Danio rerio: one gene and its partner. The protein of the gene in region 2 purifies or fractionates together with the protein of the main gene of each other region. This does not show direct contact. Links are inferred from orthologs where the notes say so. Each region holds a gene or a part of one and is shown on either strand. Other genes may lie near its edges.

What was found.
Region 1: the proteins of golph3a (region 2) and fam20b purify together in Homo sapiens (affinity purification with mass spectrometry; 3 studies listed by BioGRID and IntAct, with this or other methods). This does not show direct contact. The link is inferred for Danio rerio from reciprocal best matches to the Homo sapiens genes GOLPH3 and FAM20B.

What each region holds. Positions count from the first base shown.
Region 1 is NC_133195.1:17,131,094-17,147,402, forward strand, and holds the start of fam20b (glycosaminoglycan xylosylkinase), read right to left. Parts: upstream 10,511-16,309; 5' UTR 10,357-10,510; intron 1,078-10,356; 5' UTR 976-1,077; exon of another isoform or gene 926-975; intron 359-925; 5' UTR 253-358; coding exon 1-252. UniProt on the Homo sapiens protein: Responsible for the 2-O-phosphorylation of xylose in the glycosaminoglycan-protein linkage region of proteoglycans thereby regulating the amount of mature GAG chains.
Region 2 is NC_133180.1:42,013,650-42,030,075, forward strand, and holds the start of golph3a (Golgi phosphoprotein 3), read right to left. Parts: upstream 9,616-16,426; 5' UTR 9,411-9,615; coding exon 9,195-9,410; intron 104-9,194; coding exon 1-103. UniProt on the Homo sapiens protein: Phosphatidylinositol-4-phosphate-binding protein that links Golgi membranes to the cytoskeleton and may participate in the tensile force required for vesicle budding from the Golgi.

The DNA of each region.
Region 1 (16,309 bases), on a different chromosome or scaffold from region 2:
TAACTCAGGTGTTTCGTCTGGGTAAACCTCTCGCGGACCCACCCACTGGGCAGCCACTTCCCAGGGCGACTGAAGGGTGTGTGTGAGGCGAGCTCCTTTGGCCAGGGAAAGGCTGGCCTCCATCTTTCGGAAGGCCCGGAGGTCGCGGCGGCTAGCGGCTGATCCCTCTCCTCCATCCAGTAGGAAGACCTTGGCCAGGCCGAGGAGGAAGAGCACAGCGCAGAGCACCACCACACGCTGCTTCAACTTCATCACCTCCCACCACCACACCGGAGACTCAACCTATGCCTGGGACATGGCACTGCCCGCAGTCTCACCAACACCAGCACCACCCGTCAGGCTGGACTGGACACACTTCCTATGAGAGTAGAAAGTAGAATGTTATTGTTAATGAGCACAGCTTTTGACTAAGAATCAGACTACAATGAGCTGGCACTCTGATTTTTTTGAATGTTTTAGAATATAAATGTCTTCAATTTAAATAATTGCCAATTGCCAAAAATTCATTCTTTCATTCATTTTCCTTCGGCTTAATCACTTTATTCATCAGGGAATGAACCCCCAACTTATCCAGCATAGCGGATGTTTTATCTTTCTATTTCTAAATATGCTCGCTGAGCAAAATTATATTTTTATAAATGCATCTGTTTAATAAATCAGCTTTTTTTAATGCACCAAAATATATAATCTAGATTCACTAAGAAATTGATAAAAATATTCATTTATGCTGGGCACTGTCTCTCCAGCTGAAGCAATGTTGAATCGCGACCGGAATTTAATTGTGAATAAAATCATGAAAAGCGTGCCAGTTACTTCTCTAGTGCTGTGAGTCAACCCTGACAGACATGACACTGCCAGACGCCGAACGAAATCAGAGCACTTCACATAAGAGCACTCACTGATGCAGGAGAGCTTCCTCACTTACACAAGACGCAGTCTCTTGAGTGTGTGTGTGTCTTTAATAACACACGTCACCTTAAATCCTCCTAATGTTTGATTTGGAGTTCAGCCTGGTGTTGTGTTTCGTCTGCTGCTACTGTCTGCACAAGTCTGGCATCTCCCAGCAGATTTGATCTCCTTCAGGAAGAGAAAAAGAGACAACAGTGAAAACACAAGCAGGATATTTTGATATATTAACCCTCCTGTTGTTCTGTATATGCTATTTGTCCTTTGGGGCAAAAATGACCGGAATTAAACTCCTAAATTAAAGAAAAAGAAAGTAAGTTTATATTAAGTCCTGAAATCTATTTTGCATTAAGAAACAACTTTATTTTTATTACAAACCATGTAAATGTTTAATGGCGAGTTCAGACTGCATGATTTTCAAAGTAGTTGTCTCACAGATGTTTTCACACTGCATGACTATCTGGGCTAACATTTCGTCGCTGCTTTGTTTACAATGCAAGATGGATCGGCGACAGGGACTTTCACATTGCATGACTTTACAATAAAAAGAATCGCCGACAACTTCGTCCAAACTACGTCTCACAGTCAAAAACACGCAGTATATCTTTTGTTATTAACGACATAATGAGAAAGAAGCTTTTAATGGGGTAGAAAAATGTACATATTTGCTCACCTGGGTTTAAAGGGAATTAGCCATTTCTCCTCAAATTAAGTTGATAATAAACTAATTTCTTTCTGTACGAATCGTCAAACAGACAAGGGTGCTCTTTAGTCCTGTCAAACCTCCACTAGTTTTTCCTCCATTTCTTGGGTCCAAATAAACCGAAAAAGATCACTTTTAACTTCTTCCCCAGCCTCCCGCTGGCCTGGAGCAGCTATACACACACACACACACACACACAAGTGAATGCTGCACTCTCATTGGCTGTAGGCGATCGCTGATGTTATTTTAAGTCAAAACTCATTTTACAATGCATGATTTAAATCGCAGACAGCTCCACATATTTAGCACGCCAAATATCTCACAGGTATTATGAGGATTCTCTCAGATCGCGTTTTTGATAGTTCATACTGTGTGATTGTCACTCACGTGCACGAGCACCGATTTGCCTGTGATTTCAGGTATTTGTCGGCGATTTCTCAAAACCTGTCTGCGAGCCAAAATCGGGGCTAAAATCACGCAGTGTGAACGAGGCAAAACTTTTTCATCATCAGTGTGGAGTTTTTCATTAATGTTTAATCACTCGCTTTTGACTAAAGTGGAAGGTACAGTTGAAGTCAGAATTATTCGCCCCATGTTTATTTTTTTTTCTCCAATTTCTGTTCAACGGAAAGATTTATTTTAAAAACATTTCTAAACATAATAGTTTTGATAACTCGCTTGTATTAACTGGTTTATTTTATTTTTGCCATGATGACAGTAAATAATATTTGACTAGGTATTTTTCAAGACACTTCTATACAGCTTAAAGTGGCATTTAAAGGCTTAACTAGGTTATTTAAGTTAACTAGGCAGGTTGGGGTAATTAAGCAAGTTATTGTATAATGATGGTTTGTTCTATGGACTATCGAAAAAACTATAGCTTAACTTTTTTTCTTTATAAAATCCACTAAGGGCATCACGGCGGCGCAGTGGATAGCACAATCGTCTCACAGTAAGAAAGTCACTGGTTTGAGCTTTGCCTGAGTCAGTTGGCATATCTGTTTGGAGTTTACATGTTCTCCCCATGTTGGTGTGGGTTTCCTCCGGGTGCTTTGGTTTCCCCCACAATTCCAAAGACATGTGCTATGAGTGAATTGGGCTATAAGCTAAATTGTTCGTAGTGTATGTGTATGAATGAGAGTGTATGGATATTTCCCAGTGATGGGATGCAGTTGGAAGGGCATCCGTTGGATAAAACATATGCTGGATAAGTTGGCGGTTCATTCCGCTGTGGCGACCCCGGATTAATAAAGGGACTAAGCCGAAAAGGAAATGAATGAATGAATAAATCCATTACAGTTTACTTTCAACAATGGATTATACAAACACTCACCCTTCTAACAACAAAAAGAGACTATAATTACATTCCGGCACAAACGTACACACTTGAAAGTGCCAAACATCAAAACCTTCACTTCCATTCCACTAAATTTTTTTTTTTTAAAGACTCTGTGGGCAAACAGCCTGTAGTTCAGAGCCATGACAAACACAAACTCAACTCTCTCTCAGCTCTCGCTGATCTCAGCCTGAGGCTTATCTGTGTTTGAGAAGCTAACATTGCAAACACTTCTACTACACACACATACACACACTTACTACAGTGGTCTGTGCACTTAAATGCTATATGTGGAACCAGCCCACTCGTGAAAACTGTACAAAAACAACAGTTTGGCAGAAACCCACAAAATACATTGTTTTGGTTATATAACAAAATCCCATTGCAACGTTTCTTTCTAATGCAACAGTACATCGATCTGCATTGATTCTCTCTGTAGCCTTTGTGAAGAGCAACGATGAAAAGCAAAACAGAAAAACAACAAATCCACATGCAAGACTTAATAATAACAACCTATTAGAATCAGTTTGAGAGTTTCTGGGAAATTACATTAACTGATAATACGTATGCGATTTTATGCCTTGAAAATATGAGTGTTCTGTAACGCACTGAATCTTTTGTTGCAAATACTCCTAATTTTAACAAGCCATCAAGGTCAAGTTTATCTCTCATTGAGTTTCATTATAGCTGTAGAGATTTCCAGGAGCTCCAGATTTGGAGTAATAATTTCTCTAACCAATACTGTGATGCTGCTTAAGTGAAATAAATAAACTTTCACACACTCTTGCTTACTTCGCTCTTTATTTGTCTTATTTATTTACTTATTTTCATATTTTTAGCTATTATTTACAGTTGAAGTCAGAATTATTAGCCCTTTGCCATGATGACAGTAAATAACATTTGACTAGATATTTTTCAAGACACTTCTATACAGCTTAAAGTGACATTTAAAGGTTTAACTAGGTTAATTAAGGTCACTAGGCAGGTTAGGGTAATTAAGCAAGTTATTGTAAAATGATGGTTTGTTCTGTAGAGAATAAACAAATAGCTTAAAGGGGCTTATCATTTTGATTTAAAAAATTTAAAAGTGATTTTATTTTAGCCAAAATAAAACAAATAAGACTTTCCTTGGAAGAAAATATATTATAAAACATACTGTGAAAATGTCTTTCCTCGGTTAAATATCATTAGGGAAATATTTAAAAAAGAAAAAAAAATTAAAGGGGGGCTAATAATTCTGACTTTAACTGTAAAACAGTCAAAAATGCTGGGTTCCCCATAATTCCTTTTATGTTGTCCCAACACAAATGGATTAAGTTAACTTTAATTGTTTGTACAAAAGTAGATTGAATATAAATAATAAAAAGTGCCGTGAGCTGCTTTGAAATGAAATCCTATTTGATGTTTGACGTAATCTCAACCAAAACACAGAAAAAGGGACATAGTGTAGCTCCTTACCCTTTTAAAAAAATAGCCAATGTCATTTTGTTTTTATCACTGCTCTGCCAGTGAGAGCGATTGAGCTCAATCGCATCAAATGAAAAGCAAATCGTGAGAAGCGTCTTGAAGGCGGCGGGGCTTGTCAGATACTAGAGAGCATTTGATTGGTTATGATGTGATGAGAAACTGTAGCGTGAGGTAAAGTGGAAAAAAAAAATCATTGCTCCATTTTGGTGGAAGTGACAAACTGGTTATATCAAGTTTATATCTTCTAAATGCAAATTTTGTCACAGTTTTGGAGCACACTAGCTAGCATATGGATATCTTAAAAACTAACAATACTGATACTAACAGAAATTAATTTCATAGGGCTTTTAAATTGTCCGCAAAAATCCCTCGACAATTGTTGATTCAGCTCATTTTAATTAGTAGTTTGAACAAGCAGCTAAAATATTTTTGGAGTGTGTATAAAATGTATATCCCCTTGTCATTAAAAGTCATGAAAGACTAAACTGCATTTGATATTTAAACATGTTTATTTTACCACACACAAGACAATATAATTACTTCTAGCTGTAGAATATTTTTAGCTTTTTTGTGCTATTTTTGTCTTCAGTTCCTAAAGACTACATCACTGTATGTTAATTTCCTACGAGAAGCAGCTTGTTTTTGCTTTTAGGTTTTGTGTGGCATAAAATCTCATCTATATATTCTCTGACACATACACCATTCAGTCCATCACATTTATTCATTTTGTGTCTTGACAGCTCTTTGATATAACAGGCTTTTATAACCACCACCAAAAAAAAAAAATCATTAAAGTTATTTTAAAAAGAAGCAACATTAAATTCATATTTTTTATATTTGCAGTAAAATTCATTGCAAGCGGCTGTACATTTTTTTTTTTTTTTTTTGCTGGAGATACTGTTGTCTTTAAAAACAAACACAAAAAGTTTTAAAAAATCATACACGTAGCTTTATTAAAACTTTTCCAAATTGCGGTACACCTTGAAAACGGTTATCGTCCCATGCCTACTTGCCACACATAGACTTTACTTGGATGGGTCACCGAAGTATGTCACGTTTATTTATTTTTACTATTATTAACATCCTTTTACACTTTTAAAATTGTATACGCCTAGTATAACCAATCTGCGATCAATTAAGTAGTGTAAAATCTTCTCTCGTTTACCCGTTTCGTTCTGTGGGAGAAAGCCTGTCAGCACTCACACACAAACTTCCACAGCTTTGCAGACCCACAGAGGCGCACTTTTTTTGTCTGGCCCGAATTTCGAAATCTCCTAAAATGTCTAAGATTCAACTTTTGCCATCGCTTTTTAAAGCTTTTATGCATTTTTGCATTTCGTTGTTATTAAAGACTATGTCATAATAAATAAAATTAATTTATTAATTCATTTATTCATTTTCTTTTCGGCTTAGTCCCTTAATTAATCTGGGATTGCCACAGCGGAATGAACCACTAACTTATCCAGCATATGTTTTTAACACAGCGAATGCCCTTCCAGCCACAACCCATCACTGGAAAACATCCACACACCCTCATTCACACACATACACCACTCACAATTTTAGCATACCTAATTCACCTGTACCACGTCTTTTCACTGTGTGGGGGAAAACCGGAGGAGTAAGAGGAAACCCATGTGAACATGGACAGAACATGCAAACTCAAGACAGAAATGCCAACTGACCCAGCCGAGGTTCAAACCAGCGACCTTCTTGCTGTGAGGCGAACGTGCTACCCACTGCGCCACCATATAAATCAAATTATTGTTAAAAATTACATTATGTTTTGTTTATCGCATATAGATAATAACTAGTATAACTATTTATGTGATGTTGGTAAATGGTGTGTTTCCATCTGGTTACCACCGCAAGTATATTTGAAACCTGTGGGAAGCACTGGTTTCAAAATGTTAGTTTTAAGGATATCTATTATCTAGTGTGGAGTAAGACAATAAAATTATTTGTGAGTAAAAGATATTAGCATGGTATAAACATCCGAAACTTGCCGTCTGTCACTTCCGCCAAAATGGATCTAGGATTTATTTTTTCACGTTACCTTATATTTCAGTTTCTCATCAAATCTTGACCAATCAAATGCTCTCTATTATCTGACATGCACCGCCCCCTTCAAGACACTTGAAGTTTGCAGTTGATTTGATGTGCTTGAGCTCAACCACTCGCAGTGGCAGAGCTGTGATTGGGTGTTTTTTTTAAAAGGGAGGAGCTACTCTATGCCTCACTCGCACTTTATGATTTAGTTGAGATTACGTCAAACGTCAAATAGAAATGCACATTTCAAAGCGCTTCACGACACTTTTTAAACAATTTCACAATACTTTTTGGGGTTTATCGCGATAAAGATATCATTTACATTTATTCATTTACCAATGAAAATAATTTCTATTTTTCCACAGAGAAAAACAGTACTGTGAAACACACGTTCTCATTCATACTGGATGCTAGAGGGCGCCTCATGCATTAACCACATGGTAAATTTAATAGAACCTTTTCACATCTCTGGGTTTCTCAGCAGCAAAAGTTGTCATAGTTGTGTAAATTTGGAGCACAGTAAATAAGAGAGTGCCTATTCGCTCAAATAATAAAATAAAACTCCACAAAAGTGTTTTTACGGCTTTCAAAAAAGGACAAAAACAATTAATGGAGACTGATAACGGTAGACAGAAGAGAGAAAATTTACTGTCCCGCTCATAGATGGTGCATTAAAAAAAACATCTCACATAAGTGGTAATTATTTTTTTTTTGTAATTTGATGCTAATATAATATAATAATTATATATAGCAAGTACAACTTCATAAACGGACAATATAAAATAATAAATCAAGATATGAAAAACATTCAATCAATTAGGAACCTGATAAACTGTTAAACAAGCCATTACCCTCTTGTGGGTCCATATTAAAAACAAATAAATAGAACAAAGTACTTAGAAAGTCTTGGAAAACCTCAGACAATACACAATATTGTTCCCTAAAGTACTTAGATTTTTAAAGACGTCAGCACACAATGCATATTCATCCAGTCTGTACAGACTCGCCTGAAAGTTGCCCATCCTCAGAATATGAGCTGCATATAAAGTAAAAATAATATTAATAAAAAAACGATGTGCACACTGGCACACAAAAACGAGGTCAGCAACACTCAATGCAAACTTCCGTCAACACCGCAATGATGTCATATTTGCTAGATGTGAATTTGTGGATGGGTTGAGTGTAAAGAGGGGTTTCATGACCTTTTAAACTACACACAACTGGTAAATGCTGCTGGCTGAGTGTTTCTGACGGCTCGAGAAGTGACCGCAGACCAACATTTTCTCTCTTCCAACCCATGTATCAATCAAATAATCAATCAATTAATGTTCCCTAATAAAAATGTCAGTTGAACACAGCTAAAGTTTAAAACTTCACTAGTGACAACCACGTTTATATAGAGACATGAATTTACCAAAATTACTGTTTGTTGTGGAGCTGTCATGATAGCTATTTTTGCAGGGCGATAAACTGCACCAAATTTAATTGTGATAAACAATATTATTGCCACTTTGAAACTTATATCACTAATAATAATAATAATAATAATAACATTTGTACAACCTAATAGTGTGATAATTCAGGTACACTGTTTCAAAGAACTTTTTTTTTTTTTTAGAGTTTAGACCTTTGAAATTGGAACATGAAAAAAATCCTAAAACAGATAAATAATAATAAATAACAGATGTAAACAAACAAGTGTAAGAACAAAATAACATGTTTGAGTCAAATTAGACTTTTCTAAGGCACCTTTACAGGCCATTTTTAATAATCAGACAATGCAACCATTTCAAAAACTCTTTTTTTCACATTGTCATTATGGGGTTTTGTGTGTAGAATTTTGAGGAAATAAATGAATTGAATCCATTTAGGAATAAGGCTGTAACATTAAAAATGTGGAAAAAGTGAAGTGTTATGAATACTTTCTGGATGCACCGTAGTAACAGCTTCCCCTTTAGAGCTTGTCTTATTCTACAGTCTGATATTCTGCTCACATGTAATTGGACATTAATGCATAATGCATGAACTCCTGCTTGTTGCAATTTAATGATATTTTGTTATTGTAAAATGGCTTCTTTATTTTTTAGCTTTTCAAATGTTCCAGTTTTAAAATGTAGCATGTTAAATTATTGATAAAATACATGTAATGTTTATTATTAGGGATGTAAATAACAGATAGATGGACAGATAGAAAGGCGGATGGATAGGCAGGCGGACAGATGGACGGACGGACGGACGGAGGGACAGGATAGATAGATAGATAGATAGATAGATAGATAGATAGATAGATAGATAGATAGATAGATAGATAGATAGATAGATAGATAGATAGATAGATAGATAGATAGATAGATAGATAGATAGATAGATTTCAATTCCTGTTTCTTGGACTCACCAATGGACCATTGGATATATTATGATAATGATTATGATTACTATCATTAACAATAATGAATTTTATCATGTGTTTTTTGAATGCAAAAAGCACTGCAAGCATAATAATTTACAACAATGAACACAAAAATAAACAATGTAAAATCCGGAAATATTACAAGGAGCTTTAAAAAGATGCATCATAAAATATTTCTTGAAGCAGTTCAAAGGTGAAGAAACTAATACCTGCTGGCAGAGCAGTTAACAACCGTGACACTGAAGACTGAGAAAACTCTATAACACAGAGACTCATCTATATACAGTTTGATGAGGAATGTGTGAAAAGGCAAGTTGGAGAATGACAGACAGCTCATACAGGTAGAGATAGTCCCCTAAAAGGACTCAAAAAAATATTTTTGATGCTTGTTTAAACTACTTTGTAAAATAAACTGAAACAACACAATTCTTGAGGGTAACATTGTAATTGTTTATGTTCACTCCACTCAACTTTGTAAAGATAATTGAGTTAACCTAATGTTTGTTGGGACAACATTTAGGAATTGTGTGGTATTTGTTTACAGTAAAGCTTTATATAGTAAATAAAAACAGTAATAATGATATTAGCTTTTTAGTTTTTGTCGTATTTGTCTGGCAAAAGTTGGCAATGTACGTTAATGAGGACAGTGGTCTTCTTGGTAACACCCATCCAGCAAATACTGGGAATACTCTGGCATGAATGTCCGACAAGGAAAAACAGTCGAACGCAAGGTCTGTTTTATAAGAAGAGACCTATATTCATACACCAGTCCAGATATTTGTAAAAGTGATCAGTTTTAAAGACGCACACACCCACACTCGCACACAGAGAGAGAGGCTGAACATCCAGGTGAGCAAGTGCACATTCATGCAGAGCCTGACTGGGTGGACCTGCAGCATATCCTGTCCACGCAGGCACTAATGACACACAACCAGCCATTCATACGGCACACACTCACAAAAACACACCTTCACCATCACACCTACAGTAATACGTAAAGCGGTTGTTCACGTAAGTTATAACGTTTAACGAGCAACTAAACAGCTTTTACTGATGAGGGTCAGTAAAGGAGCAGCTCGACTGACCGAGCCGCTGCTGTCATGCGCGTAAACACACCTAACATTGACTTTTACTACATTTACGCAAATAAAAATAACCAGCTGATTTAAAAAGAGTTTGTGTAACATCATGAAATGAACATAAATGTTCGCTCCCCCTTAGCTACCGCGACATTCTGTGTATTTTATAAGCTAACAGAGGTTAGCCTGCTAGCTTACGATTCTCTCGGTTTCTTCATATAACAGCGATGAAATAACCACGACTATGATCCGAGCACACGGATATGAGTTCACCGGAGGTGCACTTCTCTGTATGACTGTCCGCAGCTGCTGTTGGCGAGTTCAGGTCCTAGTTTTTAGTCAGAGGAGACCCGCACGGCTAACAGGCTAACAGTGAAACCGTGACATTTAAAAAGCATCGACTCACCCTTGCGCTACTGACGACACATGTGAGGTGTAAAACCCCCGAGCGTCAGGCAGTGGCCCCGAACATGCGTTTATCATTAATATCCACCCGCCTGTCGGTCAGCCTCCATTCATTACTGGTACTGCTGAATCTGATGCTGCTGGCTGTGTTGGTGAGTCTGATTCTCTCGGCGAGACTCTTCCTGACTGCGCGAACGCGAACACACACAGAGAGGGAGAGAGAGAGACACACACACACACACACACACACACTAGCACGCGTTAAAGTGCTCAGTTCATGTCATGGTATTTATGACATAATTTAGATAGATAGATAGATAGATAGATAGATAGATAGATAGATAGATAGATAGATAGATAGATAGATAGATAGATAGATAGATAGATAGATAGATAGACAGACAGACAGTCAGACAGACAGACAGACAGACAGACAGACAGACAGACAGACAGACAGACAGACAGACAGACAGACAGACAGACAGACAGACAGACAGACAGATAGATAGATAGATAGATAGATAGATAGATAGATAGATAGATAGATAGATAGATAGATAGATAGATAAGGGTGGATGATAGACAGACAGTTAAATGGACATAAAGGCTAGACTGACAAACACAGATGGGAAGATGATAGACAAACAGACAGACGGTTAAATGGACATATAGGCTAGACAAACAGAGATACAGACAAGTATACGGTAGACAGACAGACAGACAGACAGTTAAACTGACTGAGATACAGACAGGTAGATGATAGACAGACAGTCAGTTAAACGGACATAGTGGCTAGTCCAACAGAAATACAGACAGGTAGATGATAGACGGACAGACAGACAGTTAAACAGACAAATAGGACAGACTAACAGAAACACAAACAGATAGATGATAGACAGACAGATAGTTAAATAGACAAACAGACAAAGATACAAACAGGTCGACGAGAGACAGACAGACAGTTAAACAAACATATAGGCTACACCAGGGGTGGGCAAACTCGGTCCTGGAGGGCCGGTGTCCTGCATAGTTTAGCTCCATCTCTAATCAAACACACCTGAACAAGCCAATCAGTGTCTTCAAGATCACTAGAAATCTATTTGCAGGTGTGTTTGATCAGAGTTAGAGCTAAACTGTGCAGGACACCGGCCCTCCAGTACCGAGTTTGCCCACCCCTGGGCTAGACAAACAGACAGAAATACAGATAGGTAGATGATAGACAGTTAAATGGACATATAGGTTAGACAAACAGACAGAGATACAAACAGGTAGATTATAAAGAGACAGATAGCTAAGCAGGCATATAGTCTAGACAAACAGACAAAAACATAGACATCCAGACAGCAGAGGAGTAGATAACAGACAGACAGTTAAATGGCCATAAAGACAAACAGACAGAAATGCAGACGGACAATGATAGATGGACAGACAGACAGTTAAATGGTCATAAAAGCTAGCTAAAAAGACAGAGATACAGACAGGTAGACGATAGACAGGCAGTTAAATAGACATAGACAAATAGGCAGAAATGCAGACAGGTAGATTATAGACAGACAGACAGATAACGGACATATAGGCTATTTTAACAGACAGAGATACAGACGTGGATGATAGACAGACAGACAGACAGACAGTTAAATGGACATATACGTCAGAAAAACAGAGATACAGAAGGGTAGATTTTAGACTGACAAACAGCTAAGCAGGCATATAGTCTAAACAAACAGACAAAAATGTAGACAGACAGACAGACAGTTGAATGATCATATAGGCAAGACAGACAGAAATTCAGACAGGTAGAGGACAGACAGACAGACAGACAGTTAAATCGACACATAGGCTAGGCAAACAGACAGAGATACAGACTGGTACATTATAGACAGTCTGACAGACAGGCAGATGAACTGACAGACAGACAACGAACATATAGGCTGGACAAACTGACAAAAATATAGGAAGACAACAGAAAGACAGACAGTTAAATGAACATATAGGCTAGATAGACAGAAGTACAGACAGGTAGATAATAGATAGACAGACAGATAGACAGACACACAGTTAAATGGACATATAGGCTAGATTAACAGACAGAGATACAGACAGTTAGATGATAGACAGACAGTTAAATGGCATATAGAAAAACAGACTAAAATAAAGACAAAACGGACCATTAGACTGACAGACAATAAGATGATTGAAGAAATAGACAGACAGATAAACAGACAGACAGGCAAATAAACAGATAATTAATAATAAAACAAACAGGTAGACAGACAAATAGGTGGATAAACAACTGATAGACACATGGATAGAGATGTTTGCTTCTTGATTGTATCTTCACATTGGCGAACAGCAGGGGGAAGCATCGCATAAAACGACTGAAGATCTCCATTAACATCTGTGGCTAAACAACAGTCAACAGACTTTATATTAAGTGGACTTGAATATGACTGACTGACTATTAAAGGGCACAGTTGACATTAAATGAACCAATACACACGATCATGGTGGTCCAAAACAAGAGTCCAAACCTGCTTGGAACACAAGAGTTTTCATTTTGAGTGAATTGTTCCTTTAATTCTATTTTTTTTCTCTAAAAACAAAAGAAATCATTACTAGCAATCATCAATTACTCCCTCTCATGAGTAAAGCTCTTTAAAACCATTCATTTCTCTGCCGCTTCCTTCCTCTTCTGATTGTCTGAAACGCTGCAAAACCGAATGGCTCTGTCAGGCTCAAATTAACACAAGCCTACACTTCCTTTTTATGCGCGCACTGAAAATAAAATCAGTGAGCTACATCAGGAGAAGTCAAATCGTCTCCCCAAAACCCTGAAAGGCTCAGTGTTGTGCTTGTTGCGAGCTGTACTCTGTCACAGTATTAAATGAACAGCCTGGAGGATTGTGAAGTTCTTTCATGCTCCACAAACAATTTGTAGAGTTCACTGCACAGCAAAACCTAAGCGAGGCTCTTTCAGTGTAAAATGGTGGCTTTACACACACAAACAAACAACCCTCGGTTCTTTATGAACACTGCTTGAGCTGCACAGTCACTGACTGTATGTGCAGCTAAAAATAACTCCACGATCACACGAAGTAGAGCAGCACATCCAGAAGAAGATCCTCACAGAATCCCTTGCAGACTATTCTGAGATGAAACTGGTGTAAGTACACAGACATTACAGCTCATTTTACTTCCAATGTGAAACAGTATACAGTTTGCAACAATAGATTGCAGTAATATGGTACACACACTTCCGTCATGTGAACTCAATGTTGGTGTCAGAGATTGTGGCTGAATATGTTTGAGTTGCTTACTTTCCCATATATGACATACAATCACCGGCCACTTCTTTTTGTTTGATAGGTATACCTGTCCGACTGCTTGCTAATGCAAATTCCTAATCAGCCAATCACATAGCAGCAAATCAATGCATTTGGGCACGTAAACATGGTCAAGACAATCTGCTCCAGTTCAAACCTACGATCAGAATGGGGAAGAAAGGTGAATTAAATGACTTTGAACATGACACGGTTGTTGGTGTCAAACGGGCTGGTTTGAGTATTTCAGAAACTGCTGATCAACTGAGATTTTCACGCACAACCATCTCTGGGATTTACAAGGAATGATCAGAAAAAAGGAAATATTCAGTGAGAGGCAGTTCTGTCCATACGTTCACACCGAAAGCGGCGAGAGCGTCAAAGTAGCCGGAAATCATTAATTTTCAGTGAGAGCCGGCGGCGATAAGCGGTGAGGAGAAGCATGGCGCGTCTCCGCCGGTGTGAGTGTCGAGGAGAGTTGAAATCAAGTTAACTTTTTGGAAATGAGCTATGACGCAGTTCGGCGGCAAGCAATCAGAATGAAGAAGTCCACCGCTTGAGAGGAGTTCAGAGAGCACAGACCTGTGAACTTTGGTTCTGACTACAGTTGTCCCCAAGGGTTTGATTATTGCGGTCGCCAGATTTTCAATTATTTACAAAGTTTTCTTCCAGGAACATGCATTAAAAAAATTACTGGCGAGTTACTGATGTGCATTAATGTTAAATATATATATATATATATATATATATATATATATATATATATATATATATATATATATATATATATATATATATATATATATATATATATATATATATATATATATATATTTAACATAAATATATATATATATATATATCTTCAAAAAAGCGGGAATCTCATGCGACAGTACAAAACAGTATTGCTGCTTCAGGATATTTCAGACATATGGACACATTGAATAATTAAGTGGAGCAAAGCCGCACCACATTCAATTCAATTCAGCTTTATTTGTATAGCGCTTTTACAATGTAGATTGCGTCAAAGCAGCTTATCATAAATGGTCATAGTAACTGGATCAGGGTAGTTCAGTTTTTAGTGTTTAAGTTCAGTTAAGTTTAGTTCAGTTCAGTGTGGTTTAAAGTCATTACTGAGAGTCCAAACACTGAAGAGCAAATTCATCGATGCGTAGCTTTACCGGCCCCTTTAAATACGAGATCAATGTATCCATTTTTGATGCTCTCGCTGCCGGAGCTGAAGGCAGACGGTGTTGTTGCCAGGGCGGCCAGAGCGACCTTGGACGCTCTCACCGCTTTCGGTGTGTACGCTCAGTGAGGGTGCTAATGCCTTGTTGATGCCAGAGGTCAGAGGAGAATGGGACAAAGGGTGCCAGACTAGTTTGAGCTGATAGCAAGACAACAGCAACACAAAAAAAAAAAACACTCGTTACAACCAAGGTATGCAGAAGAGCATCTTTGAACACACAACACATGCAACCTTGAGGCGGATGGGCTACAGCAGCGGAAGACCACACCGGCTGCCACTTCTGCCAGCTAAGAACAGGAAACTGAGGCTACAATTCACACAGGCTCACCAAAATAGGACAGTAGAAGATTGGAATAATGTCCCCTGGTCTGATGATTTTTGATTTCTTTCTGCTGCCACATACGGATGGTAGAGTCAGAATTTAGCATCAACAACATGAAAGCATGGATCCATCTTGCCTTGTATCAATGGTTCAGGCTGGTGGTGGTGGTGTAATGGTGTGGGGGATATTTTCTTGGGACACTTTGGGCCCATTAGAACCAGCTAAGCATCGTGTCAATTCCACACCCTACCTGAGTATTGTTGCTGACCATGTCCATCCCTTTATGCCCACAGTGTACCAATCTTCTGATGGCTACTTCCAGCAGCATAACACACCATGTCTTAAAGCGCCAATCATCTCAGACTGGTTTCTTTAACATGACAATGAGTTCACTGTACTCAAATGGTTCCACAGTCACCAGATCTCAATTAATACAGAACCTTGAGATTCACATCATGGATAAATACTGTCAAAACACTACTTGTGACTTCAGTGGTTCAACTGTAATCACATGAAGCACAAAAACACTTTTGTGCACCAAAAAACCTTTAAATATCAGCACCTACAGTATATACTCTCACTTATCAGGTCATTTAGAGTCAGCAGTGCAACACACATGATGCATAGTACAGATATATTGATGACATAGATGAAGAAGTCGTTTTTTTATACATTTTTGGCACACAAAAGTTTTCTTGGAGTTTCATATGATTACAGTCGAACCAATGAATGAGAACTGAAAGTTTTTTTTTATTATTTATTTATTTTTTTACAATATCTTTAATTTGGGTCGTCACTGTGGAGCAGTGAGTAACACAATCGCCTCACAGCAAGAAGGTCACTGGTTCAAGCCTTGGTTGGGTCAGTTTGCATTTCTGTGTGGAGTTTGCATGTTCTCCCCGTGTTCCCGTGAGTTTCCTTCGGGTCCTCAGGTTTCCCCTACAAGTCCAAAGATATGCGTTACAGGTGAATCGGAGAAAGCTAAATTGTCCATAGTGTATGTGTTTAAATAGGTGTTTCTCAGTGATTAGTTGCAGCTGGAAGGACATATGCTGAATAAGTT
Region 2 (16,426 bases):
TGCCACAGGCCTCCAGCTGCAGTCTCCCTCGTAATGCCAGCTCAATGAGCATGCAGCCCCTCAGGCCAGACGAAATGCAGTCGTTCCAGAAGGAGGTGTAACCCTTACACAAAAACAATACCAACGGATTAAGTATACATGCAGTTGAGGGCTATGCACTTTAGAGCTTCAGTGTAGCTGAAATGAAGACTGTTCCAGTTACATTGTTACACGAGGATCTAGTGACTGTGTGTGAAACTGCATTTCTTAGAAAGCGTGTCCTAAATACACTGTAAAAAAATATCAGTTAATGAACAGTGTTTTCTGTTTATTTATGGATGTCAAATGCATCATGGGCATTAATCTTCACTCTGTCGCCATTTGACGTTAAAAATATAACTCTAAAGCTTAAAGCAACTTTTACTGAAATTTTAGTAGTTGGAAACATTATCATGTATAAGAGATAATATAGAGAGAAATAAGTGTGTAAAATAACAATAAACGTACTGGCAGATTTTTACAAGGTTTTTGTAGCATAATTTAGAACACCAGCCCAGACAATAAATCACTTTAAATTAATAAAATCGTCAATAAAAGTCCTTTTCTAACTTTTCAATGTTAGAAGCTGTTGGATGAAAGATTAAGGCACCATGATGCAATCCAAAAGCATAAATACACAGGCGAAAATAAAAAACGAATGACAAAATGTGAAAAACTGCTAATATACAGATATTGTTTTACAGCGTGCATGTGGCATGATGCCACGACACACGTTAAATGGCGTCTTTTCCCTGTTAAAATTAGTTTTTGTCCTAATCATCCATGATGCTGACACAATAAATTTCTATTTTAGAAATGGTTTCTATTTCTGCTATGTCAAAACAGCATAAAAAAACAGCATTGCATTACAGCATAAACTAATATGACAATGCACACCTCAGGTGCTGATTATGTGCTTTATTCAATGTTAAATGCAACCAATCTAAGTCTGGATATTATTTTGTGTGACATTTATTACCATACCAGCCTATAAGCAGGGGTGGGCAAAGTAAGTCCTGGAGGGCCAGTGTCCTGCACAGTTTAGCTCCAACACTAATCAAACACACCTGAAAAAGCTAATCAGTGTCTGCAAGATTACTAGAAATCTATAAGCAGGTGTGTTTGATTAGAGTTGGAGCTAAACTATGCAGGACACCGGCCTGCCAGGACCAACTTTGCCCAACCCTGCTATAAAGTAAGCCTAGAGGAGCAGCAGATAGTTCACCTCAGCTCTTAAAAATAAAATGGCAAACTTTTAATTTGAAAATTAAAGGTAGAACTGTGACTAACCAATATCAGACACTCAGCCTTTAATAATTAATTCATTCATTTTCTTTTCGGCTCAGTCCCTTTACCTTTAATAATGTTAGAGGTTTATTATGTACTAATTCGATTCTAAACCTTACCATAACATCTAGGCATGGGACGATAACTGGTTTCAAGGTTTTAAAACCAAGCAAGTCAAGGTTTTTCTGGTTTATGTGAATGTTCTTGTGTGTTTCTTTGAGTTAAGAAGAAATCATAAGAGTTATGAGTTATGAAGTGTTTTTAAAAGTGATGAAGAGAGCAGAAGTCAGAAGTTGAATTATTTAGCCAGATATGTTTACTGCTCTAAAACATTATAGATGTTTCTTAAAATAAATATATATATATATATATTTTTTTTTTAACCAAGACAGTAACCGCAGTAACCGTAATACTATGACAAAGTGAAACCGTGATATTTTTATGCAAGGTTATTACACTATCAGAAACTTATACCGGCCCATGCCTAATAATATACCAAATAGGCTGGTATTTAAATGTTTCTGTCCTGTTGTTTTTGGTGCAAACAGTCAAACTGCTTGTCTCTAGAATCTTGTCAGGTTACGTTTAGTTAGGACACGATGTTAGACATGATGACATTCATTAAATTTCTTCTCTGGCCATTCCAGTTTAGCTTGTTGTAATCTGCTATTTGAATTTCAGTCAGTGCCTAATTTGAATTCATGAACTAAAAAAGTAAATTTTGCCCAACAGCATGGGATAGTAAGTCTGCTGTGTCGTACTAAGCAGTGTATGAAGTGAGCGATGGATTTCTCCAGCGTTAACAAGGTCTGCTTTGTGCAGTTCCAGCCTCCGTCCCAGTGGCCACTGCTAAGAAACAACAGGCCTCTTTCAAGGTACTGGCAACACAGGCAACACTCTGAGGTGGAGCACAAGCGCAAACAGCCATTGATAGAAGCACAATGTTATATCATCCAGTGTTTTTGAAGAACTGTTTACTTTGCACTGTTTTCAAATAGATCTGATTGAAAGAGGATAGGACTAGAGGTCTGTGCCCTTGACGGAGACACAACAGAAATGCTAAATAATCAAACATTTTAACAAGTCATGTTCATTGAAATGCAGAGCTTCATGTAAATGCGAACAAATTCATTTTCTTTTACATTATTTATAATAGTGGATAATATAATTAATAATTTAGATTTTTATTTAAAGTTTAAAAGAGAAACTATGTAACTTTGGTACACTTCCACAAACTTTTCTTTTAACTGAACATGTATAGTCTACTCAAAACGCAAAATTAATTTTCATTGATAATAATACTAAATATTACAACATTATTATACAATTGATAATTATAGAGACCCCCTCATATGATTGTAAAGTGCTTTCCGCGTATGGTCACAATAAATGTGCTATATAAATACACTTTACATGCTATTAAATATACAGATTAATCAAGTGGAAATTCTGTCAAATATCCAAGCTGCTTTTTCATAAAACAACTGTGCATAATCAACTGATGTTTTGAAAGATCTGTGTTCATTTTAAAAAGTAAAATGTGATTTATACATTTACTTTAAAATATATTTTATCCTTTAAAAGGTCTACATCACCTATGGAAGTATGTTTCTACCACAGAAAAACAAAAAAGTAATCATATTGCTCAAATTTTTGACTTCTTATGACCTTTTCCTTAACATTTAAAGAATTGCTAAGTGTTTTTTTGCTTAAATTGCACCTTTATTCATTGTAATTGTTAGTTTGTAAACTTTGGCAATTCAGTTTATAGCTGACAAAGAAAGGTAAAAAGTTTGAGGTTAGAAAAAAACATTTATTATATACTTCAGGGAAAAAAAGGTTTCCATTAAAAATGAAAGAGATAGTTCACCCAAAATGAAAATTCACTCAATATTTACTCTCCCTCAAGTGATTACAAACCTTTATGAGTTTCTTTATTTTGTTAAACACACGAGAAGATATTGGGCAATGCAGTGGCGCAGTAGGTAGCACTGTCGCCTCACAGCAAGAAGGTTGCTAGTTCGAGCCTTGGCTGAGTCAGTTGACATTTCTGTGTATGTGTGTGAACGAGAGTTTATGGGTGTTTCCCGGTAATGGGTGGCATCATGCGTAAAAACATGTGCTGGATAAGTTGCTGGTTCATTTCGTGGCCCCAGATTAATAAAGGGACTAAGCTGAAAAGAAAATGAATGAATGAATGAATGAAAAAGATATTTTAAAGAAAGTTGGAACCTGAACCCATCAATAGTATCTGGATGCAGCCTTGATGATGCAAGCTGAGATTGCATTACTCAGCAATGCAATGTCAGACACAATGCACTCAAATTGAGCGAGTGACATCACTGTGAGGGGTAGGGTTAGGGGTGGGGTTAGGTGAGCCGATTAAAAAGCATTGGATGCAGCTCAGATTGCACTGCACCAGGTCTGCACCCAGACCCATCTCGAACCCACTGACTCCCATAGTAGAGATAAACCAATCTGATGGAAGTCATCAGTTACAAGTTTTTATTATTCTTTAAAATAATAAATGCATGTTTAACAGACAAAAAAAATTAAATAAATAAATAAACTTTGGTTTGGTTAAGGTCAAGTAAATAATGGCAGAATTTTCTTTTTGGGAGGACTATTCCTTTATACCAAAAATAAAAACTTAGCTTACACTGATTCTGTTTATCACTGTAGTCTCTCAAAGTGCAAGAGGTATTTTTCAAAATAATCTCACTACAGTAGTAGTACTGACGTTTTATGATCACCATTTATGATTCTTTGTTTATTTCCCTGCCTAGACAAAACAAGATATGATGAAAATATGAAAGTATTGAACAATTGCACTGAAGGCATGTGACAATATTGCTCCATCAAACAACAGTGTTCAAGCTCAAATGTTTAGTTATGGTTTTCTTGTTTACACTGTGCTGTTATGAGAGTGAACCAGATACTTAAGCTCTGACAACAACATAGGAGAGCTCACTAAAAGCTGACATAAGCAGACACCAGCAGAGACAACTGTAATTAAAGACAACTATTTGGAGAAGACCAACCACATGCAAAACAGTGGCCTTTATTGTACTTTATTCATTAAATGTGTACTTGATGGAGTAAGGTCACGGTCAAATATTCATCAAATAAAAATAGAGATGAGTTCACTATGATCAAGACCCTTAAAACTTGATACACTAAACAAATTGTACAACATTTGCAACTTTCAGAAATCAATCTAAGTTGCTGAATGAATTTGAAACACCTAAACATAACTGTGAAAGAATCTGAACCAATCTACACGTCAAACTACTATTGTGTAAAAAAAAAAAGCAATAATTCGACAGTCTGAGATGCCAAGTGTAAGCAGTTATGTTTCAAATAGATTTTAAAAATTCATCAAAAAGCTGTCCTTAATACCAATCATGCAAGCGTACTTTCACCCATTAAAGCTCACACCTTATTTGCAAATAAAACAAGACAAGGACACTGCTAGACTGCAAATTGACAGCAAAAAACCAAGACATTGGCTTAAAAAAACACCAATTTTCTGAAATATACTCATCATTTTGTACCCAAAAGCCACTGTTGCTGAGAAAACAAAAGCAACAGGCAGTAATTCAACATGAATGGGCTGCAAAGAGATGCGTCTTCAGTAACAGTGCCTTGTCTAATGCCTGCCTGTTCAACCAAAAGGCCAGAAAATGAGGTAGGTACAATACACTACCTATTATAGCTCTGAATAAGGGTTAGCCAAAACACCAAACTGGCTAATTTTAAACTTCTCTCTTTATTAAGAACAATCATAGTAAACATCCTACTTAAAGGGAAGAAGCTCACAATGGTGGAAAAGACATGGCAATATTTAATAATTCAAAATATTGTGATAATGAATTTGCACAATAATGATTTTGTGAAGAGGCTGCAAGGTGGTGCAGTGGGTGGCACGCTCACCTCACAGCAGGAAGGTCACTGGTTCAAACCTCGGCTGAGTCAGTTGGCATTTCTGTGTGGAGTTTGCATGTTCTCCCCGTGTTCTGTGGGTTTCCTCCGGGTGCTCTGGTTTCCCCCACAAGTCCAAAGACATGAGCTATAGGTGAATTGGGTAAGTGTATGTGTGTGAATGGGTGTGTATGGATGTTTCCCAGTGATGGGTTGCAGCTGGAAGGGCATTCGCTGCGTAAAACATATGCCGGATAAGTAGGCGGTTAATTCCGCCCCCAGTTAAGACCCCAGATTAATAAAGGGACTAAGCTGAAAAGAAAATGAATGAATGATTTTGTGGACACTTTGGGAGAAAAAAAACAACTCAAAATAATGAAAAGTGTTTGAGTGCTTTTTAAGAATTTTTAATTGTATTTGTAAAACATTCATAACAGCTAGATGCTTGTACATTTAATTGGTTAACCTAATAGTTCAAACATGAACATTTTCACATGTTAATTTAGCCTACTGCATGCTGAATTATTGAGTGATAATTCGGTGACTATTTGTACGGCTGGGGCCAGTTGCACTACTAAATATTTAAGGCAGCTTACATTGAAGAGCCACAGCCTTATTTTCCTCCCAAATTTAGCATTTTGTTTTTGGTTTATGAGAAAGACTTTAATTATATTTCAATGAGTTTTTTAGTGTTTTGTGTTTATTGTGTTTAGCAATTAAAATGAAAATTTCTTTATGATGGAGTTATTTTACCTGTTCGTTTTGCTTTCATGTGTAGGATATAAAAAAATTATGATAACTTCATGTGTATTTTGCAAGTATAACCATTCACGACTATGTAATATGTAAATTTAACTGGTCGTTTAATTATCATATGACAGTTATAGCCTATAAATGCATCATATAAATATATATATATATATATATATATATATATATATATATATATATATATATATATATATATATACAATTTTAAAGTGGTGTAATGATTTAAATGCTTCGTATTTATGACCAACCATCTACTTTTTGCCTTAAGAACATGTGGTGCAACCGAGTACAAATTTTGTTACAAACTAGCTAGTAGCTACTAAGCCTCTAGTGTGGACTTTACATTCTAGTTTAAGAACACTGTACAACAAGGCTCCAAAAGTTAGTTACCATTTGTAATCATTTAAACTGTTTAAATTAAGCTAATAACTAATACAAATTCGGTTGTATTTTTTTTACCAATAATTTTATGGGAAAAAAACATTTTATCGCTGTACATAATTTAATTTAAATATTAGATCCGATTACATATAGATATATGGCTGCAACAGCAGGAGTTTTGTGTTCTACTAAATGCAGCCAATGATTTGTTGAAGCTTAAAGCAATTTCTTTGTTCTTAGTCCTGGTTATCGTCATACTCTGGACGTCTTCATTATTTGAATAACTTGATTGCATGTTATCAGCTCATTGTTTTAAGTTTTAAAGTGTGTACTTAAGAGAATAAGACTTTTAAAATACTGTGCAGTGCCGAACTCCTCCAGGACTCCTTTAGAAAAAAAATGCAAGTGATTCGATCTGAAACTGATCTTATCTTCATGTTTCATAAAATGCAAATAAACTACCAGAATTTGAGTCCTAAAACCTTTATCACAGTTTTTAGCTCAAGTTTCCTTTTGGATAATGAATGTGTTTGGCTGGCTGCAAACTCAGAAGCAACCAGACAAAGATTGTGTGTTCTGTATTGTTCATTAAAATGGTACTTCAGCTTTTCCTGAAGTTTGCGTCCACTAAATACATCATCAGCCTGTGTCAGAACACTTACACTTCAGACATGAACATGGCCAGAATCATTTGCGGATTACAAATAATAAATAAACACCTTTTCTCATCTTCTGAAAACAAATTAAGATATTTGTTATGAAATCTGAGAGCTTCCTCATCCTCCACAGACAGCTATGGTCTGAAGATGTTCCAAGTCCAGAAAAGGAACCAAAAACATTGTCAATCATTCCACCTGTCCTTTAACTGTAATCAAACTTGGCTCCAATGACACTTTTGTCAGGAAAAACACAACAAAAACAACTATATATCTGACTGTTATTTATTTATTTAACTTCTCTTTCACATCAGGTCAGGGTAAGTTTACTATGTACAGTATGATGTATTGCCATAATTCAGCAGCAAAACACGCATTGGCTGTATAGCCCATAGTAAAAACACACCCTTATCTGATACAGAAGAGATTGGTGAACAAAGTTGTTCCAGGGGCCTGTACCATGAAGCCAGATTAGCTGGCTAGCCGGTAGAGCCAAATACTGAAAAAATCTGACATTGCGATATTTAGTGTTTCTGTGATATGTATATTGAGATATGAATATAATCTCTCACCAGATGACTTGAACAGCTCTATTTGTAAATATTTCATTCATTTAGATAAATTTAAATGATCAAGTATTTTTTATACAGTGCATCTGCTTTCATTTGGATAAATTACAAGCAAAAAGAAAAGGAATAAGCAGTGCTTTACGGTTTTCTGGGGAGTTTAATAGTATTCAGGTCCAGAAATTGAACAATCAATTTTAAAATACCATTGTCATCATTGTATAAATTATTTTAAAAAAAGAAAATATCTTTATATCTTAATAAATAATCTATTCCTGCTCTGTGACTATTGCAGATACACACATTGTGATATCAATGCTCAAACGATATATTGTCCAGCGCTACTAGCTGGTTAAATTCAGTTTTGTTTGCACCAATATAGGCTTTTAGGTACCATAAAGGCAGCTTAGTTCAACTTCTGCATAATACCATGGCAAACAATGAGTGATTAAAGTCAAGCTTCATGCACATTACTTAAAACCCAAGACTGGTGCAAAATAAACAAACTTAACTGGCTAGCCAAGAGCTTTGTATGATTACAGTTAAACCACTAAAGTCACACGCAATGTTTTCACAATGTTTTCTTTTCTTTTCTGGACTTTGAACATCTTTTGACCATTGCTGTCTGAGAAGGCTCAGAGAGAACCTCCTAATCTGTGTTCTGAAGATGTACAAATGTCTCAGGCAAAATTGAATGGCACAAGGACTTGTTTTTAACATAACTTTCATTTCTGTGTGATCTTTTAAAATCTCAATGTGTCACCAGAAGCCTCTGCTATTAATTTTGTTTACTTGCATTTTACAAATACCCAATGTCACTGGTTTTCAGTAAAATGTTCTTTTAGGATATACTGAAGAAACAAAGTCACCTACATCTTGGGTGGCTTGAGGGTCAGTAAATAGTACATTTTAATTTTCACTTGGTTCTGGATGATCTGACCCTTAATAAGACACACTGTAATAAAGATTACGCTGGACTTGTTCCTAAACAAATATTGTTTTGACTATACAGGCTGTATCTGGATCTACATGCTTCATACGAATGTGAACGTGGGTGTAAGGATAATGGCCTACATCATGCGTCTTGAACAACATTGTATCTACCAAAATGCAATACACAAACGGCATCAAACTCATTGTGTAGACAGCGACGAAAATTAGCTTTATGTAACTTTCATATGCCAATATCAGTGTATGCCAATCTGGTTACCATATGGTACATGAAACAATATATGTAATATTAAGACATTTAAAGGTATCGTTCAGTTTTTTAAACTCTGTTCACTGAACTACGTTTTGTTTTGAGAGTCTTGAGGGTCAAAGAGAGAACTTGGAGCTGCAGTGCAAGTCAAGCTAAATGCTATTGCATTACCGAAAACATGTGGCTTGATTTTATCTCAAAACGTCACCAATATATAAACAAAATATAATAATCATCAAAATTTAAGAATTCAGCTTCTTCTATTTTTGAAAGAGCTAATTTATAAGCATCGAAATGAGCGACAACTGTGGGTGATGGTGAGAGATAATATGCTAACGTTAAGCATCGACTATAGAAACAACAACTGAGAAAATAAAGCAAAACCACAATAACCTCTCGGTCTTTCAAGCCCAACAGCAGCACTTCCTCCATCAAGGTGAGTCTGGTTTCTTTGGAGTCGCCGCTGTCATCGTCCTCCGGCTCTTCTCCGCGACGAGGCTCGTAATCCTCGTCACCGGATCCGCGCTCTCTGTCTGCGGCCGCAGCGCTGCGCGAAGCCTCGGTGCGTCTTTGCACCAGGCCGGAGCTCCGCTGGGTCAAAGTACTCATCTCTCTCTCTCTCAAACACACTAAAACAAAACCTCCGTCCCAGACAACCCCTGTCTGAGAACACACTGCCTTATTCAGTCCGATGCATAAATGATTTCCAGGGCGAAAAGGGAAAACGAAGGTGTATATCGGGATTTGTTTTGGAAAGGGCCCCCTCGCGATCCCTACCGCGGACCGTCGCCGATTCCGTCAGGTTTAATATGGCGACCAGTCCAGACGTGACGGGAACAGCAGTGGATGTGGCATCCCAGTACTCGGGTTGTGTCCCAAAACCTGCCGAACTACATACCGAGACTACATTTTTCATAATATTTAGGTAGTATCTATTTAATTTAATTAACTAGCCCATTTTGTTAATTAACACTGTAAGCATTTTACTAAATTAAAGTGAAATAAGAAACGTTAATATTAATATTCAAACGTATTAATTGTGGCTAATAAAAAAACACAATTAAATATATATATAATTATATCATTTAAATGTCCTATATACAATGAAAAAAATTACACCAACACACAAATCAAAATCCTACTAAAACAACAAAAATGCTTTGTTAATATGCACATTCAAGTAGAATAACAATAAAATAAACATAGCAACAAAACACTGATCACGATTGCAAAGTACTGATCTATTTTTTTTTTATTTCAATCATATTTTGTGGACATAAAGTCAAAGGTACATATTTCTCAAGTGCGTATAAAAAGTATTTGCTACTTTTACATGAAAATAATAATCTCAAAATCAATGTTCCAAAATAAAGCAATATTTCATATACATCCAAGGCCAAACTCTGATAATGTGAACTTTAAAGTTAGTTATAGAAAAATATTTTAAAAAATGATACAGTGATACGTTTCTCATTAAGTTCACCTTGTCAAACACAAGAGCAGTGATGAACTGAAGTGAACAGAACCAGACTCTCATCTGACTGTTCAAGTAACAGTGACTGACTGGCAAAGAGCAGCAGTGCAAAACAAAAGTGAAAAATGCAAACAAAAACACAAAAATGGTCAGGAAACCGCTTTCTCCACACTTCTGCCAGCTGTTCAGTGCTTTCAGGAGCTTACATCAGTTTCAGTACATTACAACAGCAGAAAAACACAGAAAGTGATGCACAACAGACACTGAAGACAATATGTGACTGAAGTGCCTGTTAATTTGGGGCAGTAGTTCTGTAGGCACCGCAGAAAAACAGAAGAAAATGTGCACAAACGCAGATACTGTATGACAATAGCTTATGTTTCAATAGTTACAAGGATTAGCAGTTTATGATGATTTTTTTAATCTTACCGTATAAAATTATTTCTAATTTATTTAGTTTTATACACATACATTTGTTGTTGTTAGATCCATACATATATAGAGTTCCACACAAACACCACTGTTGTATCTGTGTAAGCACTGACTAAAATACCCATGGTGATGCTGATGCTTGGTTGATCTATATCATCACAAAAAAAAAAAGAATGGTTTGCATCACCAATATCATGTCCTTACAATTTCATTGTAATAAAGTTAGTAATATTTGTTTGTGCTCCTTTGTTCTAAAAGTGTGAACTGATCGCATAATGTTCTAAAAATGATAGCAGCTAAGGCTGAATGAAATAAAAGACAGCCTACTGATGGACAGATCCGATTCACACAAAACAATGTGTGTTTTACATTAGAGCACTGAAACTGATGTGTGTCGTTCTATACATCCTGTTTTCATATAATGGTCTTAAAAAAATCTAAGTTCTCCTTCACACATTCAACATTTATATAACTGAAGGTTGACAACATTTCAGAGTTCTCCCTGCCAGAAAAAGCTGAAAACAAGCTGGATTGAGCTTTTCTATTATTCAAAATAAGCTCATTCTGATCACTGTGATGGAATACTGTATGGAATGTTACTTGGTATCGATTTTAAAGGTTTATTAATCCAAAAATGAAAACTTGCTGTTGATATAATGACCCTCATGCCATCCAAAATGCAAAGGTGATTTTTTTTTCCTTCAGTAGAACAATGAAGATTTTTACTCAACCTATGGTACTTGCTGATTTTTAAAATGCATGTCAACAGCTAACAACACTTTGAGGGTGAAAAAAGACATATAGAGGCAAAACATTTAATATCTGTGGCTCCATGTGAAGCATAACTGAATGAAAAACAAACTGAACATTTTTTCCATATCCTTGAAAAACCAACCTGAGTGCCTCTGGAGTACAAGTTCCCTGTGCTTAACAAATCATCAGTAATCAGTAGGATAAATTTAGATTTTCCCGTATATGTTTTTTTAACATTTCAAAGTCCAGGAAGCTGTAGACTTACACTTTAGTAGTCACCAATGACCACATTATTACCAGGTAAAAATGTTCTTATTTAGAAAAAGGGTGCATCTTGAATGATCTGAGGGAGAACAAATTGACAACAGCTATTCCGATATCCCTTTTAAGTAACACTTTACACAATGGAAAGCCTGGAAGTTCAAGCCTGTATCCTGTTCCTGTTTTGTGATGAGCAAGAGGAAAATACTAGGTACTGTTCTTAAAAAAACTTCCACAAAAAAAAAAGTCTACATCCTGTCTAAATTTTCATGTTATGTTTTCAATACAGTAGGGCACATTTAGTTGAACAAAACCCTGTTTTACTTCAAAAAAAGACCCGCTTTAGCACCAAAGGCACTTTATACACCTTCAAGGCCACTTTAATCCTGTATCTACCTTATAATATACTTATTAAATAATATAACCATTAATGGATGGAAACAGATTTCCTATTAAACCAAACTCTCAGCCTAACTGGTCTCGTCCTCCTGATTGGCCAGATTATCGGCCACCATGAGGCTTTGCATTAGACCTGTGGGAATGATGGGTTTGAAGGAACGGTTGCGGCTGTAAGTGAAGGGGAACGAGGATGAGAGTCTTCCTGAGGAACCGAATGAGGGCAGCCGATGGTGAAGAGGTGGAGGGTGATCGGGTTGAGTGGCCAGCGATGGGTCTCTCTGCTCCAGCACACGCTTCAGATCCTCCACTTGACTCAGCAGCTCCATCAGCTTGGTCATGATGGCCACCGAGCCTCCACCCATGATGTGCACTTCAGGGATCCAGCGTAGGTAGCGCTGCATCCAGACGCGGACAGACGGTCCATCCAGAGAGGGCAGCAGGAGCCCGTGATAGTCCAGGGGACGCTGCTGCCAGGACTCGTAAAACTCTTTGCTGGCGACGACGGGAGAGTCTGGAGAGCCCATCCAGCGACTGATACGCTTCACTCGGAGCATCTTCTTAAGGCTGTCGGTCTCGTCTTTGAAGAAGCCTTTCTTGGTTGGGGTTTTGAAAGCTGAGCTGGGCAAGGATAACTGCCTTTGGTGCTATAGATTTGAAATCAAAATCAATTAAATATGCATGCAAAAACACACTGTGAATTATTCAAAAAGAAAAGCACAGTACAATTCAAACAAATTAAAAGCAAAAGGAAACAAAATGGTGTAAGATGTCACTTGTAATTTCCTTCTTGACTGTAGATGTCACCAAAACACTGAAAAACTCTAGCAGTGCATAGCTATGATTTTATTACACCTGACCTTTACACACACATTTTAGAGATTTATCTGACATACTAAAAATGTATTTGTTTTCATTTTGAACCAAAAGGTTAAAGTGAAATGAGATCTTTGTGTGTTTTTATGTCAGAATGAAATAGAAGTTTTTGTCCTTCCTTATTGTGACATTTATTCAAGTGCAACTGATTACTGAACAATGTGTTTTGTGGTTTATTAAAGTAATGATGTGCATAAATGCTAATACATCCTGCAGTGCTTCACAGAGACTGATAAACCGACTATATTAAATGTTTTTCGCAGCAGTGTTTTTTTAGTATCATTAAGAATCCATTATAGTTAGCTTCCACTTTTTTCGTTATAATTCTAGTTCATTTATCAATTTTATTGTGCGTTTGTCATTTAGATTAGTTCGTTTTTGTGGTTTATTTTTTAACATAAAATTATATTTAATTTAAATACAGAAATACTTGGCTACTATCTAAACTAAACTGTAATGTACAAAGTTGGGGTCAGTCTGATTAGTTTTAAAATAAGCTTCTCCTGCTCACCAAGGCTGCATTTATTCAATCAAAAATACAGTAGAAATTAGTAAAATTGTGAAATATTATTACAGTAAAAAATAACTGTTCAAAAGTAGTTCATCATTTAATTTAAAAATTTATTCCAGTGATTTTAAAGATTTTTTTAGCTTCATTTATCCAGTCTTCAAAGTCACACGATCCTTCAGAAAGCACTCTGATATTAATTATTAATGTTATTATTATTATTAATGGTAATAGAAACAAAAGCAATAATGACTAGAGTGATAATTTCATTTGAACCTACATACAATAACAAAGCAGTTATTTGAAGTTTTTTGAATATTTAACATTTTTTTTACATTTAGTAAATGCAGCCTTGATAAACAGAATAATATTCTTAAAAACATGGAGAAAAAAAAACTGACCCCAAACTTTTGACTGGTAGTGTATATTTTAGTTATAACAAAAGGACCCTCAGCTTTAAAGTTTTTAGTTTTAAATTGTATTAAACTTCATTCAGTTTCTTGCTATTGTGTTGATTTTAAAGTTTAAAAATCTGGGTCTGTGAATAGTTTTGCTATAAAACATTTGCACTTACCGGTATATCACTTAAAATATAATTACAGTCATATATTATATGATGTAAACACAGTCCTTAAGGAGTTCATTTGTTCATATCTGCATCTACATTATTAAACAGTGTAAAATGTAAGAGATGGTTAATGTTAGGATTTCATGTTCTTACCTTGTGTTTGTGAGGTCTACGAACAGTTCTCTCATGTTTCACCTTCTCTGAATACAGAGGGTTAAAGAAGAAATTCTGGGCCTTGCTGTCAAACTGCACCGACCAGTCCCACACTGTAGGGCAGCTCAATGGCCTGCTTTGTGCAATCGGTGACTCGGCCTGCCAAGACAATCAAGTACAGGCAGTTACAGAGAGGCGTACGACTGTACATGTAGACTAATGACTGCTTTACAGATGGCTGACTGTTTTCTTTTTAGCCACAGTACATCTAAAGAGACATCTAGCAGTACTCAACATCCAAAAACTGTGTAGTAAACTAACTTTACAGTACAGCTCACCCAAACTGTTTTACCCATTTATGCATTCATTTATTCAATCTCCTTCAGCTCAGTCTCTTTATTTATCAGGGGTCACCACAGCGAAATTAAACACCAACTTATCCAGCATATGTTTTACACAGCGGATACCCTTCTAGCTGCAACCCATCACTGAGAAACACCCACACACACATACACTAGAGCAAAATTTTTGTTTATTTAATTGACCTGTACCGCAAGCCACGAGGAGAGCATGCTAACTCCACACAGAAATGCCAACTGACCCAGCCTGGACTCGAACCAGCGACCTTCTTGCTGTGAGGAGACAGTGCTAACTACTAAACCATTGTGTTGCCCCATTGCCCATTTAAACACCCTAAAATGGTTTCATACTTTAAGGAGCTTTTTCTGTTGGGCACAGAAGAGGATATTTTGAAAAATGCTGAAAACCAGTAACCACGAAACACATTGGTTAGAAAGGAAGTTATTGACTACTGGTCTCCAACATTTATCAAAATATCTTCTTTTATGTTCAACAGAAAAAAGAAACTCTAACAGCCTTGGAACTAGTGGAGAGGCAATAAATGATGACAAAATTTAAATTTTGGATGAAGTATCCCTGTAAAGTTTAATCAGTTTAATAACAAATCTCAGCCTACTCCATAAAATCAAGTACAGAAGTTCTACAATACCTTCATTACACTTTCTCGGTGATGAGCAGAGTTGAAGAGAAAGGTGCTGAAGATTGGCACATGAACACTGTCAGATAGCACAGTCAGGTAGGTTTCGGAAAACTGGAAAGCCGGGCTGTGCTGCTGAACAAGCTGCCACACGCACTCCAGGAACAGGAGGAAGACCGGAGAATGACACTACATGATGACAAACAACAATTAAACTCGTCATTATGAACTCAGAGCTGACATCCCTGCTTAATTATGGAACACTGAAGTATCTCAAATAAATTAGTTAGCGGTACAAATTTCTATTTCAGTTCATGCTCTCATCATTTTTTATCAAAATAACTTCTGCTTCCTCTTGCCAAGAGTTTTCTTGTCTTTTGTACAGGAACATGGGAGAACAACCAGCTACTCGTATGAGATCAACCAATCCTTCCAATCAATTTCTGTCATACTAGCTCTGTGCCAACAGATGCTAATAATGTGCATCAACAGTAAATGTGCATATAAAGAGTTTAGATTCAAAAGTGCCATATAGTTTTTTTTCAGGCTATTATGTTTATATTCAGTTATTTCTCAATAAAGGCAATGAAATTAACTTATTCCTCATCTTAAAATTGAAGTAACTGAACCTACACACATGTGGAGCCTGAGAAAAATCCTAATTGTAGACGAATTCAGATGGCACTTATAGGCTTTTGCATTTGAACTGTTCATGTTTAGGTATAGAATTATGAGAATGGGTTATGTTATTCACAGTGCTTCGTGGTAGTGGGCAGGGCTAAACATCTATTTTGGGCACGTTGCTGACGTGACTCTGATAATTGCTCCAAAACATTATGGGTTGCATATATTATGCTATCAAACATTGGGTTTAAAAACAAGTTTAATTCACACTGAAGAATTCAACAAAGATCTCAAAACGTCAGTATATGATTTAATATAGTATAAAATAAATTTTCCTGTGGATCAAAAAAAGAAAAAATTGACTTTTTCAACCTAGCCTCTGAGGCAATTTATGCTTAATTATTCCAGACGAACACGTCATGATTACAAATGACATAATTTTGTAACCTGATTAAAGACAGGTTTGCAACTTGTATTTCTGGTTGCAGAACAGCTTGCAGATATCAAAGGTTAACAACAACAAAAAAAAGAGAAAGTATAAAACAGTAACCTTTCCTCTAAGCCTCTGAAGAAACAACAGGCT